Callithrix jacchus: one gene and its partner. The protein of the gene in region 2 purifies or fractionates together with the protein of the main gene of each other region. This does not show direct contact. Links are inferred from orthologs where the notes say so. Each region holds a gene or a part of one and is shown on either strand. Other genes may lie near its edges.

Evidence for each region. Proteins that work in one complex are often made in the same cells at the same time.
Region 1: the proteins of NUP107 (region 2) and TPR fractionate together in Homo sapiens (co-fractionation; 4 studies listed by BioGRID and IntAct, with this or other methods). This does not show direct contact. The link is inferred for Callithrix jacchus from reciprocal best matches to the Homo sapiens genes NUP107 and TPR.

The regions. Positions count from the first base shown.
Region 1 is NC_133519.1:44,384,778-44,390,777, reverse strand, and holds part of TPR (nucleoprotein TPR), read left to right. Parts: intron 1-1,462; coding exon 1,463-1,566; intron 1,567-1,903; coding exon 1,904-2,068; intron 2,069-2,542; coding exon 2,543-2,635; intron 2,636-3,052; coding exon 3,053-3,133; intron 3,134-3,210; coding exon 3,211-3,298; intron 3,299-4,027; coding exon 4,028-4,168; intron 4,169-4,562; coding exon 4,563-4,654; intron 4,655-4,932; coding exon 4,933-5,130; intron 5,131-6,000.
Region 2 is NC_133510.1:50,460,213-50,466,641, reverse strand, and holds the start of NUP107 (nuclear pore complex protein Nup107), read left to right. Parts: upstream 1-2,111; 5' UTR 2,112-2,178; coding exon 2,179-2,204; exon of another isoform or gene 2,205-2,791; intron 2,792-4,058; coding exon 4,059-4,150; intron 4,151-4,637; coding exon 4,638-4,724; intron 4,725-5,675; coding exon 5,676-5,791; intron 5,792-6,429. UniProt on the Homo sapiens protein: Plays a role in the nuclear pore complex (NPC) assembly and/or maintenance. Required for the assembly of peripheral proteins into the NPC. May anchor NUP62 to the NPC. Involved in nephrogenesis.

The sequences.
Region 1 (6,000 bases), on a different chromosome or scaffold from region 2:
AGACAATCGCTGGTGTTCATCTTTTTCCTTCAGGCTCTGGGGTTAACAACCTTGTGAATAAGGGCAGTTCTGATCATAAACCTGACTGCATTGCACAATACAGTAGAGTTAGCCAATCCCTTCCTGCCCTATATCCTGGTGTTCTCTTCCCTTTTTAACTAATAAATGTCTTTTGTGGCATTTTTTTCTAGAATAGGACACTTCCATCTACATTAAAAACCTGTGCAGGCGTATAACCTTTCTCAATGATTTTCTTAACAGCGTCTGCTTGGTTGACAGAACCTGCATGTGATGTTTTCTTGACTTTTTTTAAGTCAAACCTCTTTGTAAAATTATAAGACCATCCTTTGCTGACATTAAATTCTCGAGCTTTAGATCCATCACCTTCCTTTTACCTTAAGTTGTTGTGTAATGACGTTGCTTTACCTCAAATCATATTAGAGTCTATGGGTATGTGATAGTAATCCTGCACCCCATAAAAGTTGCATTTTCAATAGGAGACAAGAAGGTATTTTGCAGAAATGCACTTTTTTATGTTTGCTGTGGAGTAGCTGCAGTGATGGCTTCACCTATTTTCTTTCTCTTTTTCTTAACAACGGTCTTTATACAGGATTCATTTATCTTGAAATGGTGGGTAACCAAGCTGTAGTCCTCAATTGATGGTACATGTCAAGCAATTCAGCTCTTGAAAATATTGTCATGACTTTTCTCTGCTTCTTAAAAGCACTTCCAGTGTCACTAGTGGCCTTCTGATGGATCCCATGTTGTTATTCAAGGTTTATGTTACTGCACTAAACACAATGACAAATATGCAAAAACTTCAAAAGATTACTATTTTCTTCATTATGCAATTTACTGGAGAGAGAAACTGCTCTCGTTAGAGTCACAGCATTCTAAACATACTCAGAACACTTGAGCTTAATGCAGTAGTATCAGGAAGTGGCTATGAAAGTATTACGGTAGTACAGTATGTATTCCAGTTAATGTTATGCAGTGATGGCTAAATAAAGCATCTTTACATTTGTTTATATTTCTCTTAATTACATATGGGGTCGTGTCCTGTTTGTGTGCGTAAGTTTTGATAAAATTTTTAAGTTTCTATCATACATTTGTGCATATTTTAATGGAGTAAATGTTAAAATAGGCTAGTATTTACATATATTTTATGCACTTATAACATAGTAGATTTTTCTTAGTTTGTTTCCATTTCTGAGCTGCCTGGACTGGTCTGTGGTCTCTGAGTTTTTCAAACTGTTGCAAGTTTTTTGAAAAAAATTTCAACGTATTTATTGAAGAAAATATGAGTGGAAGTGAATCTGCACAGTTCAAATCTGTCTTGTTCAAGGGCCAGCTGTGCTTACTTTGTATTAAAGGTTTATATTCCTTGAGATACATTTTTGATATTTGGTTCCTCTAAGTGTTAATTAGTCATTATTTTTTAATTCTTTTTTCACCATTCTAGAGGATGTTAAACGTCTCAACGAAAAACTTAAAGAAAGCAATACAACGAAGGGTGAGCTTCAGTTAAAATTGGATGAACTTCAAGCTTCTGATGTTTCTGTTAAGGCAAGTAACAAATGATTCCTAATGCATAAACTATATTTTTTAATTAAAACTCACCTAAATTAAGTTTCAAATATAGGCAATAAAGTAATTAGAAGCTGGATTTTTTGTTTTTAATGTCAAAAAATTAAGCATTAGGACAATTCTAATTCAACTGTTTAGCTTATTTGAAATTTAAGTTTGTTATAGTTCTTAATGTTTTCTAGTTAAGAATCTATGCAAATACTTAATTTCTGTTTTAGAATAAAATTCTACTTGTGTCCCTTAGTTATAGAACAAATCTTTTGAATAGCCATATATCATCTTTAACTGTAGAGGTTACTCTCTTGGATTTCTTTAGTATCGAGAAAAACGCTTGGAACAAGAAAAAGAATTGCTGCATAATCAGAATACATGGCTGAATACGGAGTTGAAAACAAAAACTGATGAACTTTTGGCTCTTGGAAGAGAAAAAGGAAATGAGATTCTAGAGCTTAAATGTAATCTTGAAAATAAAAAAGAGGAGGTAAGTTAGTAAAATTGTATTTTCCTTCATGTTGGGTATAACTTAGATTCCTGTGTCAGTTTGTTAAATATGTATTCAATAGTGTGTACTTGATTAATTTTAAGAGTAGGGGTTAAATGTTAATAACGCATTAACATTTGGCATAGGAAATCAACCAGTTGCATCTAAATAAAGAATTTAAGATAGTCTTCATCAAATCTGGATAGTAACTGCTGTCTTACGATATATCTTTTCTAAAATAACGTGTTTAAGAAGTGGTCTGTGCCTAAAGAAGTGATGGTAAGTTTTTGTGAGCTAAATGGAAACATGCTGTTCTGTAAGCAGTTATTCTTAATTTTCTTACTCATATTTTAATAGCTTTTTCAGCTGGGGATGGGGAGTCACTCAGCTTTTCCTTAGCAGCATGAACCTCATATCAGAGTCATTTCAGTTAATATGACATCCTTTCCTCCAGCTCTGTTTTTTTGTTTTTAGGTTTCTAGACTGGAAGAACAGATGAATGGCTTAAAAACATCAAATGAGCATCTTCAAAAGCATGTGGAGGATCTGTTGACCAAATTAAAAGAGGTATAGATGACCATTAAATTTTTTTATATAAAATGTTAAAGCACTTATGAAGCTGTTATTTCACAAAATGATGTCATGTTTTAATCTCTTTGGCCCCATAAAATGGTGAGAGTACTACTTCCATGTGATGTAACTAGGCTGTAATAGAATCAGAAATAGCAATTATATGTTATATCCAAAATACTATCTAAAAAATGAGTGTGGGTTAATTTTATTATTGTTTAATTATTCTACTTTGAATTTAAAATACCAGTAATGTTTCATCCTTAATTTATCTTGGTCATGAAGACTGATTTGAATTTGAGTGTTTTAGTTTTTATCTCTTACTTTACAAAATGGAATTTTTCATCTTGGCATTCGATAAGTATTCTAAATTAAGTTGAAAGTAGACTGCTCTAATTGGGCTGTCTTTTTCAGGCCAAGGAGCAACAGGCCAGTATGGAAGAGAAATTCCATAACGAATTAAATGCACACATAAAACTTTCTAACTTGTACAAGGTAAATATGCCCCCACACATGTGCCTATCTAAATGTTGCATTGTTGACTTCGGTAACTTTTTAAGATTAACTTTTAGAGTGCCGCTGATGACTCCGAAGCAAAGAGCAATGAACTAACCCGGGCAGTGGATGAACTACACAAACTTTTGAAAGAAGCTGGTGAAGGTAAATGCTTTCAGTTATGGGAACGTTACTTTTGTTATTACATAGAAGGCATTGTTTTTCTTTTTACCCTTGTTTTGTATAGATTATTGGATTTAGGTGTTAGACTTTATTTGGGTTGGAATTAGGTACGGAAGAAAGAACTTTGGATTAGGAAATTTGGAATTATATTTTATGCAAATGTAAGTTTATATGTTTTTGAACATATAGACAGCAGGGGGTTTTTTGCTTGAAGTTTTTCATCTAATAATTTTATATAATTTCCTGATTTCTAATGAGAAAATTTTCTTTTTTGAAACATTTACTCTGATTAAGTATGTTTGAATACTCTTTTACTTCATAAACAAGACATCCTCTTTATCATTTGCATTTTGGAAAGTGTTTTATTTCCTTAAATTTTTGCTTTTTTCAGTGTAAGATATTTATGGTCTTTTCCAATAATGCCCTTTACTTAGTATTAAAGATAGAAATTGAAATCAAAGCTAGACCTAGAACCACTTTTTACCCTTTGAGTTTCCTTATTTTCCTTGTGGGTGAGAGAGATCAAAAGGGGAGCTACTCACCAGCCAAGACAATTCCGAAATTATAAATAGAGCAAGAACTTTCTGTAGCTTCTCTAGAAATGTAGTATGCAGTAGAAATGCTGAGGTGAGAAGTGACTTATCTGGTGCATTTTGTAATCTAAAATTTTAACTATATGTTTGAATATTTGGTCTTTAAAATTGTTTTTAGCCAACAAAGCAATACAAGATCATCTTCTAGAGGTGGAGGAATCTAAAGATCAAATGGAAAAAGAAATGCTCGAGAAAATAGGGAAATTGGAGAAGGAATTAGAGAATGCAAATGACCTTCTTTCTGCCACAAAACGTAAAGGTATGGCTGATAGATGGTTGTTAGTGGCTTGAAATACTATAGCTTTCCTGCATGAAAGTCATTTAATTTCACTAATAGTATTTCTCTGTCATGCTGTGATGTAGGGAAACTCCATCAAGTTCCATTGTTAGAATTTGTTTTAAAATTAATGGTCTATCTGTATCTTTACAGAATTAGGTATCTAAGTACTATTTGATCACACAGTGTTTTGTAAATTCCCAGACGATTGCATGATTTTTAGAATTAGATGTGTCACATGACTTTTTGATGTCATGTTAAAAATGTTTATAGCAATCACTATATAATGTACAGTACATGTCACTTATCTTGAAAAACTTATTAATGGTTTGTAGTTTGGAATTTTACAAATTCCAAATTATATATTTTGATACAGGAGCCATATTATCTGAAGAAGAGCTTGCAGCCATGTCTCCTACTGCAGCAGCTGTAGCTAAAATAGTGAAACCTGGGATGAAATTAACTGAGGTAAGAATGATAGTAAATCTTGATATTTTCTTATTTTGCTTCAGCAAAGGTATACAAATCTCTCTGAAATTTAATTCTCTCAAAAATTGTTTTGAAAATCATTTTATAATTAATGGATTATTCTAGGAAAGTCTTCCTGTAGTTCCTAGTTCTGTGTATCTAACATATAGTAAACATTTCTGTGTTGTGTAAGTGTTAAAGAATGTTTATTATGAAACTAGATAGACTACATATTTGTGTTGTTATGGTTAGATTTCAAACAATCCTTCTACTTTCAGCTCTATAATGCTTATGTGGAAACTCAGGATCAGTTGCTTTTGGAGAAACTAGAGAACAAAAGAATTAATAAGTACCTAGATGAAATAGTGAAAGAAGTGGAAGCCAAAGCACCAATTTTGAAACGCCAGCGTGAAGAATATGAACGAGCACAGAAAGCTGTAGCAAGTTTATCTGTTAAGCTTGAACAAGCCATGAAGGTTGGTTCCATTCCTAAAATTTAGCTGTGGTAATGATACAAATGAGAAATGATTTACTACGTATTTTTTAATTAGGTGATTGAGTAAAAAAAAATGTAAATATGATTTTCAGTAAATAAATTTTGAAACTTCTCATTACATTATTAAACACTGCTAATCATAAAATGTTCTACCTTTATTTAGCAATTTTTATTTATTTCACAATTGGTATTTAAAATTGTGAAAGCATTTTAACGTTTTTTTAATGCATTTGATATGTTTTCCTTAGGATTCTCAACAAGAAAATAATAGCCAAATCTCCTTATACATCTCTTCAAATTAATCTCTCTGTGTAACACAACCCTCCTATTTAGTGTAGTAATTGTTTATCAGACAGTTGCAAGATCCTGCCTAGAAATAATGTATTATTTGACCATAGAGCTCCTTTTTTCTACCATTTCACAATTTGGCATATCTTTATATACATTATTTTGTTACTGCTTCTTTGCTTATTAAAAGTGTTAAGGAAATTTATAAAGATTTTTTTCTTCTGTGTAAGAGATACTAATTCAAAAAGTTTATATTCTGAATGTTTTGCTTTACGTACAACTATTAACATTACTGAGGGAAATTGTCAAGATTTCTTGAACAAGTTTTATGGAAGAAATTCAGCTAAATGAATTTACTCTTCTAAACTGATAAATTGTTTAACTTTTTTGGAGAAGAATATAAATATATCCCTCTTTGAAAATTAAATCTCTGTTGCTGTTATCAGCTTAAATCCAGGTACCTTATTATATTAACTGGTCTTTTTCTTCTTCATGAAATGAAGTCTAGCAGTCTCGCCTGATTGGGAATATTGTCGATTAGCTCTTCCTTGAATTTTTCTCT
Region 2 (6,429 bases):
CAAGTACACTTCAGTTATATTACATGAATAAAACTCACTGGAATTCAATTGCTGAGGGACATGGAGCAAGAACCTGAACCACAGATAACACTTTGAATTAACTTGCCCCAGCACTGACAAAAATCATTAGCACCACATTTTGCTTTCTATAAGAACAAGCGTACTTTTTGTACAGGAAAATTAGGAGGTTGGGAGAATGAGACCACACCAGGGCATAATTCTTCAAAAAGGTTATTGAAGGAGTAAAGTAACATTTCGATGACCTGCTATGTACAGTGTATATTTGATGTCTCTCTCTCATGCCCACTCCCCTACTTTTTAAAAAATATTTGTGATGGTGCAGTGGTTCACGCCTGTAATTCCAGCACTTTGGGAGACCAAGGCAGGTGGATCACATGATGTCAGGAGTTTGAGACCAGCCTGATCCATATGGAGAAACCCCATCTCTACTAAAAATGCAAAAAATTAGCCCGGCATGGTGGTGCATTCCAGTAATCCCAGTTATTTAAGAAGCTGAAGCAGAATTGTTTAAACCTGGGAGGCAGAGGTTGCAGTGAGCCAATCTCATGTCACTGCACTCCATCCTGGGTGATAAAGCGAGACCCTGCCTCAAAAAAAAAAAAAAAAAATATATATATATATATATATATATATTGCAGAAACAGGGTCTCATGTTGTTGCCCAGGCTGGTCTCAAACTCTTGGGCCCAAGCCATCCCTCCCACCTGGACCTCCCAAAGTGCTGGGATTACAGGGGTAGCCACCGCACCCGACAGTGCTTAGCTTTTTCATAGATGTAGCTTTTTCCTTGCTTGCAGACTTCGCAGTGAGCCGAGATCACGCCACGGCCCTCCAGCCTGGACTAGAGCGAGACATAATCTCAAAAAGAAAAGAAAAAAAAGCTCAGCACTGTCACCAGGAATATATGGCAAGAAAAGCTGGCAATTTCTACATATCTGTGAAACCCAAAATGTCATTTGCAATAAGGATCAAATGTATCAATAGTGTAAGCCCAAAAGTCTGTGGCAACTTCTTCACTTTCCCCAGATTGTCAATGGCACCTTTGTTAAACTCAACAAGGTTTCGGTTAACAATGTTGAGGATTGCAGAACCACCTATTGCATGGGGCACCTGAACCTGAAATCAACAAATAAACTGATATACCTACTGGTTATAGTAAAACCAATAAACAAATTACCTTAACAGAGATAACTCTTTAATTGCTAGATCTCTTGATAAATATGGCATCATCTGACTGGAGAATCTGATTCGAGAGCTCTATGTTGTTGAAAAATTCTTCAAGTTCCCGTGATCCTTCAAATTATCTTCTCCACGAGGTAGAATGAAGGACTACCTATTTTGTATTAATGAAAGGTATAAATGCCAGCAACAGAAAAGACCATATCAACAGGCTTATTAAATGGATAAACTGAGGTGTCTAATATTATTTTTGTAATCTTATCAGTTAATAACCAGTCACTACTTTCAAATATGAAAAAAAACAAAAATGTGACTCCTTCAAGACCAAAATATAACCACTATTTGCCTACACGGCACTTTGAATAGAGGGCAATACCATCATATTTTACGCTTGCCTTTCTACTTTTTAATACGGGTGAACTTTTTTTCCTCCATAGCAAAAAATACCAAGTAAAGAACAAATAGCAGTTATGGAAAATACTTTCAAAAACTGTATGAAGCTACAGCACAAAGGACTGAGCGTAGGGAGAGAAACAGAAATTTCTCGAGGCAGAGCCCACATATCTGAATTCCAACAACAGGCGCTTTCTGAGAGAATACCAGGTAATGACTTCACATTTTTCCAGACTATCAACATAATTCGTTTTTCCCAGTAGGAGAACCCAACGCCTGTTCCACGCCCACAGACATCGGTCAGGCAAAGCGGCCGCAACGCTTCCGGGCTAAACGCGACTAGGTCCCGCCCCCGGTCCTGTCTGGTCCAGCCAGGCACAAGTTGGCAAACTTTGCGCCTGCGCCCACCGGGCTAGCTCATGTAGGCTCAAGTCGCGCATGCGCTAGGTGGGAACGTTGTTTCTTCTCCCCTGCGCTTTTTCTGTGGGGCTGTTTTAGGGAGAGTGCTTCCAGGTCGAAAGGCTTGCTTCCGGAGAGCGGGAAGGCTAAAACGCGGTAACTAAACTGGAGCCAACCTTGGTTCTGTATGGAAAAGGCTTTAGCCATGGACAGGTCAGTTCTGATCGTGGGAGCTGAGCCCGAAGTCTTGTCCCTCTCGCCTGCTGGCGAAACGAAATAGGTGAAACTAGACTCCCAGAAAAAGCCAAGGAGGAGGTCCCGGGTGCTTCCCCTAAGACTCCTTCCCCAGGCCAGGAAATTTGGCTACAAATGCGGAAAAGGTCGCTTGGCTTGCGTCGGGGTGGGATACGGATTATGATGGTTCCCTACATTCTCACTGTGTTCTGCGATCTATTCGGCGCTTTGGGGCAGCAACACTATTCTTTCCTGAGGTGGGCGGGGTAGGTAGCCCGGCGTTCTACATGCTGAGTGACCAGCCTGAGATCACAAAGCCAGTCAATGAAGATACTGGGATCTCAGCCCAGACTTTCTGATCACAAGTGCCAGCATCAAATACTGGGTTCCTTCTATAATCTGGGTATTATGCTAGCCGGCTGCAACAAAGATCAGTTATTCAAGATCCTTCACCTCGGGGAATTGGTTGTGTAGTGGAGACAACCAAGCATATAAAGTGATAAGTGTTTTGGAACGATTAAGTCTCCCTGTCACTATATAACTATCAGGAAGACCTCTCGAAGAAGGTAACTTTCTAGTTGGTGTTTGAGTAATAATAGTACATTATTGGTACTCCAAACCTTGAGTACTGCTATGTGACTGCATTGTTCCAAAGGATTTGAATATATATTATTAGCTTGTTTAATCTTCAGAACAAGAAAAATTCTATGAAAATATGTGCTGTTATCCTTTTTTCATAGATACCACTGAGACTAAAAGAGGTTAAGGAACTTGCTGAAAGTTAGAAGGCTAGTAGTAAATACAAGGACCAAATTCCCAACCTGCATCTGTGTGTCTCCAGGCTACCTGGGGCTCTTTGAGGAGTAAGTAGTTGTTGACCAGGTGCTCAAGGGAGCCACTGTAGGTCGTTTTAAAAGAAACTTATTCAAAGGTGTTAGGATATAGAAAAAAGTACGTGCTTTGTCGGCAGTCACATGCAGAATATGTTTAAAGCGATATTTGTGGCTGAATATAAGACTGAACCTCTAAACTGGGGTCACATTGTAAATAGCTTTTTAGGGAATTTGTACTTCTATAGACTAGAGAGAGATATCTGAAGTTTTTTTTGTTGTTGTTTTTTAATTAAACCTTTTAAATTTTGTTTTGGTTATTGTTTTCCATACTTTCTTGCTGAAGGAATATCTGAAGGTTTTAAGTGGAGGAAAAGCATATCAGATTCTTGCCTTAAACATAGGCCTTTTCATCCACACAATTTCGTTTCTAGACCTTTGAGTGAAAATGACAGGGAGTGATGTGATGGGACAGGAGACATCCTGGGTTGAAATAATTTGAAGGATCATTCTGCTCCATTTACCAGAATTCTTTTATTTACCCTCTTATCTCACAAGCTCTGTTTTGTGTTGTTGTTTGTTTTTCAGTGGTACCTGTGTTTTAAAGCATTTTGGAGACTGCAGAAAATCTTTTAAGAGAGAATTCCTGTAATTAGATAACTCCTCAATCCAACAAGGGAAATGAGATTGACTTTTATGAAGCAGTTATCTAAAACAGTGTTATAGATTCCAAGTGTTGAAATAATTCCTTAGGAGAAAATAACATAGTGAGTACTAGAAAGTCAGAGAAGTCTTTGTGCAGGTAAGATTTGAGTAAGGCTTTGAAGAATAAGCAGGATTTGGAGCCAGGAGTGCATTCTCAGCAAAAGATCTAAGACTTGGCTATTGGAATGACCTATACCACAACTTACTCAGAGCCCTTTACTCCAGCTGTGATGATAAAATTCTTTTACAAATACTACATTCTCATTTCACTTATGTAAGCTTGATTATACTACTTTAGGAGTGGCTTTGGAGATATATCATCCCCTGTTATCCGGGAGGCAGAGGTGACACGGACTGCACGGAAACAGAGTGCTCAAAAAAGAGTTTTAAGTATCCTTTGCGATTTAAGCATCATTATAAAAATTGTAACATGCTTGGAATCGGTGTTGTAGAATTTTCTTTTATGAGAGTATTAAATGTTAGCTGTAATAAAATCCTGTAGAAATTTTTTTTCACTCTGCGGAACTGTCATTTGGTAAATATAATGCTAAAATTTAATGAGATTATGTTTCCCTAAGAATAAAGATATTTCATTTTACTACTGACTATCATATTGTGGTTAGCTTCTGCTGAAATTAGATTTTTTTATTATTTGAAAACTGACTAAAAACATTTAGTTCAGTAGTTATCTAAGACTGACATCTGAGAATTTAAATGGCAGAAGGAATCATTTACCCTTTGCATAGAAAAATAGTAGCCATAAAATACCTTATTCTTGGTAAATGTATTCACATAATTTGTATAGTAAAAATATTGTTAGTTCTCACTTTAATGATCTCTTTTCTACGTGGAAAACTTTTCTTAACTCATTGTACAGTTCAGTCATCTCAAGATGAAAATTTTGGTAATACTACACCAAGAAACCAGGTTATTCCTCGAACTCCTAGCTCATTTCGACAGCCTTGTAAGACTTTTTTGCTTTTAAAGCACTTAATAATAATGATAATTATAATAGCAGCTAACATTTATTGTAGAACAATTAGTATTTGGTTACTATATCAATAATTAAGCACAAATAATAATGATTGCAGTTATTTGTTGAACTCTTGCCATGTACAAAGTACTGTATTTTACATAAACACACAGTAACTATGACATAGGTATTGTTAATTCTATTTTACCAAAACTGAAAGCAAGACTTAGAGAAGTTATAATATAGGCAATAAGTATGTAAATAAGCTGGATACAGTGGCTCACGCCTGTAATCTCAACACTTTGGGAGGCTGAGGTGGGCAGATCACTTGAGGCTAGGAGTTCGAGATCAGCTTGGCCAACATGGTGAAACTCCATCTCTACTAAGAATACAAAAATTAGCTGGCGTAGTGGGTCATGCTTGTAATCCCAGCTACTCAGGAGGCTGAGGCAGGAGAATTGCCTGAACCAAGGAGGTAGAGGTTGCAGTGAGCTGCGATTGTGCCACTGTACTCCAGCCAGGGCGAAAGAGTAAGACTCTGTAAAGTATGTAAATAATGGAATTGGGATTCAAACAATGATCTGTTTACTCCAAAGTTTATGCCCACTGCAATTCACTGCCTCGGTAAGCCTTATAAAATTAAAACATGAAGAGTCCATTGACTCATTAGTGTTTTTAACTGCTCAGTTATGCTATAATGAAAGCATCCATAATTGCAGTAAGATTTTTCCTGATAGGCTCAGTAGTACCTAGAACTCAAATTTAGAAAAATAACTTAAATCCTTGTATTGTGAAAATGTTAACATTTAAAGTATTTATCTGGTTAGAGTCTAAATGATGGAAAACGGAAAAATTTATTTTTCCTTGTTTGTTTGCTTACTTTGTTTTGATAATGAATGCTCATGCACCTTAAGTTTTTTTCTACCAACCTTTTGTTTGTAGTTACCCCAGCATACCGAAGCTTACTAAGACAGCCGGATATTTCCTGCATTCTTGGAACAGGAGGGAAGTCGCCTCGACTCACGCAATCTTCAGGGATCTTGGGAAATCTCTCCATGGTATGTAGAAAAATAGGGCTAAGAACTTCTCCTTTTGTGTCGAGTGTGGTGGCTCACACCTCTAATTTCAGCACTCTTTAAACTCCTGACCTGAAGTGATTCTCCTGCCTTGGCCTTCCAGAGGTCAGGAGTTTGAGACCAACCTGGCTAACATGATAAAACCCTGTCTCTACTAAAAATAAAACAATTACCTGGGACTCATGCCTGTAATCCCAGCTACTTGGGAGGCTGAGGTGTAAGAATTGCTTGAACCCAGGAGGCAAAGGTTGCAGTGAGCCATGATTGAAAAAAAACAGGGAGACAGAAGAAAGAACCTCTTCCTTTTAATAAAGGTATGTTATTTGATGTAAGTCTTTTAATGAATACTTAAAAGCCTTTTAATGAATATTGAGTCATAAATCATCATAAAAGTACAACTAGGTTATATGGATTGAAATAATTAATTAGACATTTAAAAAACTGAAAACCATGTGCATTTCATATCACCGATGGAAATGGTAATACCAGCAACCTTTAGATACAAACAAGATGTTTTAATCTGTCAGTTTGCTGACCAGAAGAAATACGTGCTGTGGTTGGTTACTGATGGCTATAAAATCTGATCCCTCTTTTGAAGCATACAAGAGGAGAAATCAGAG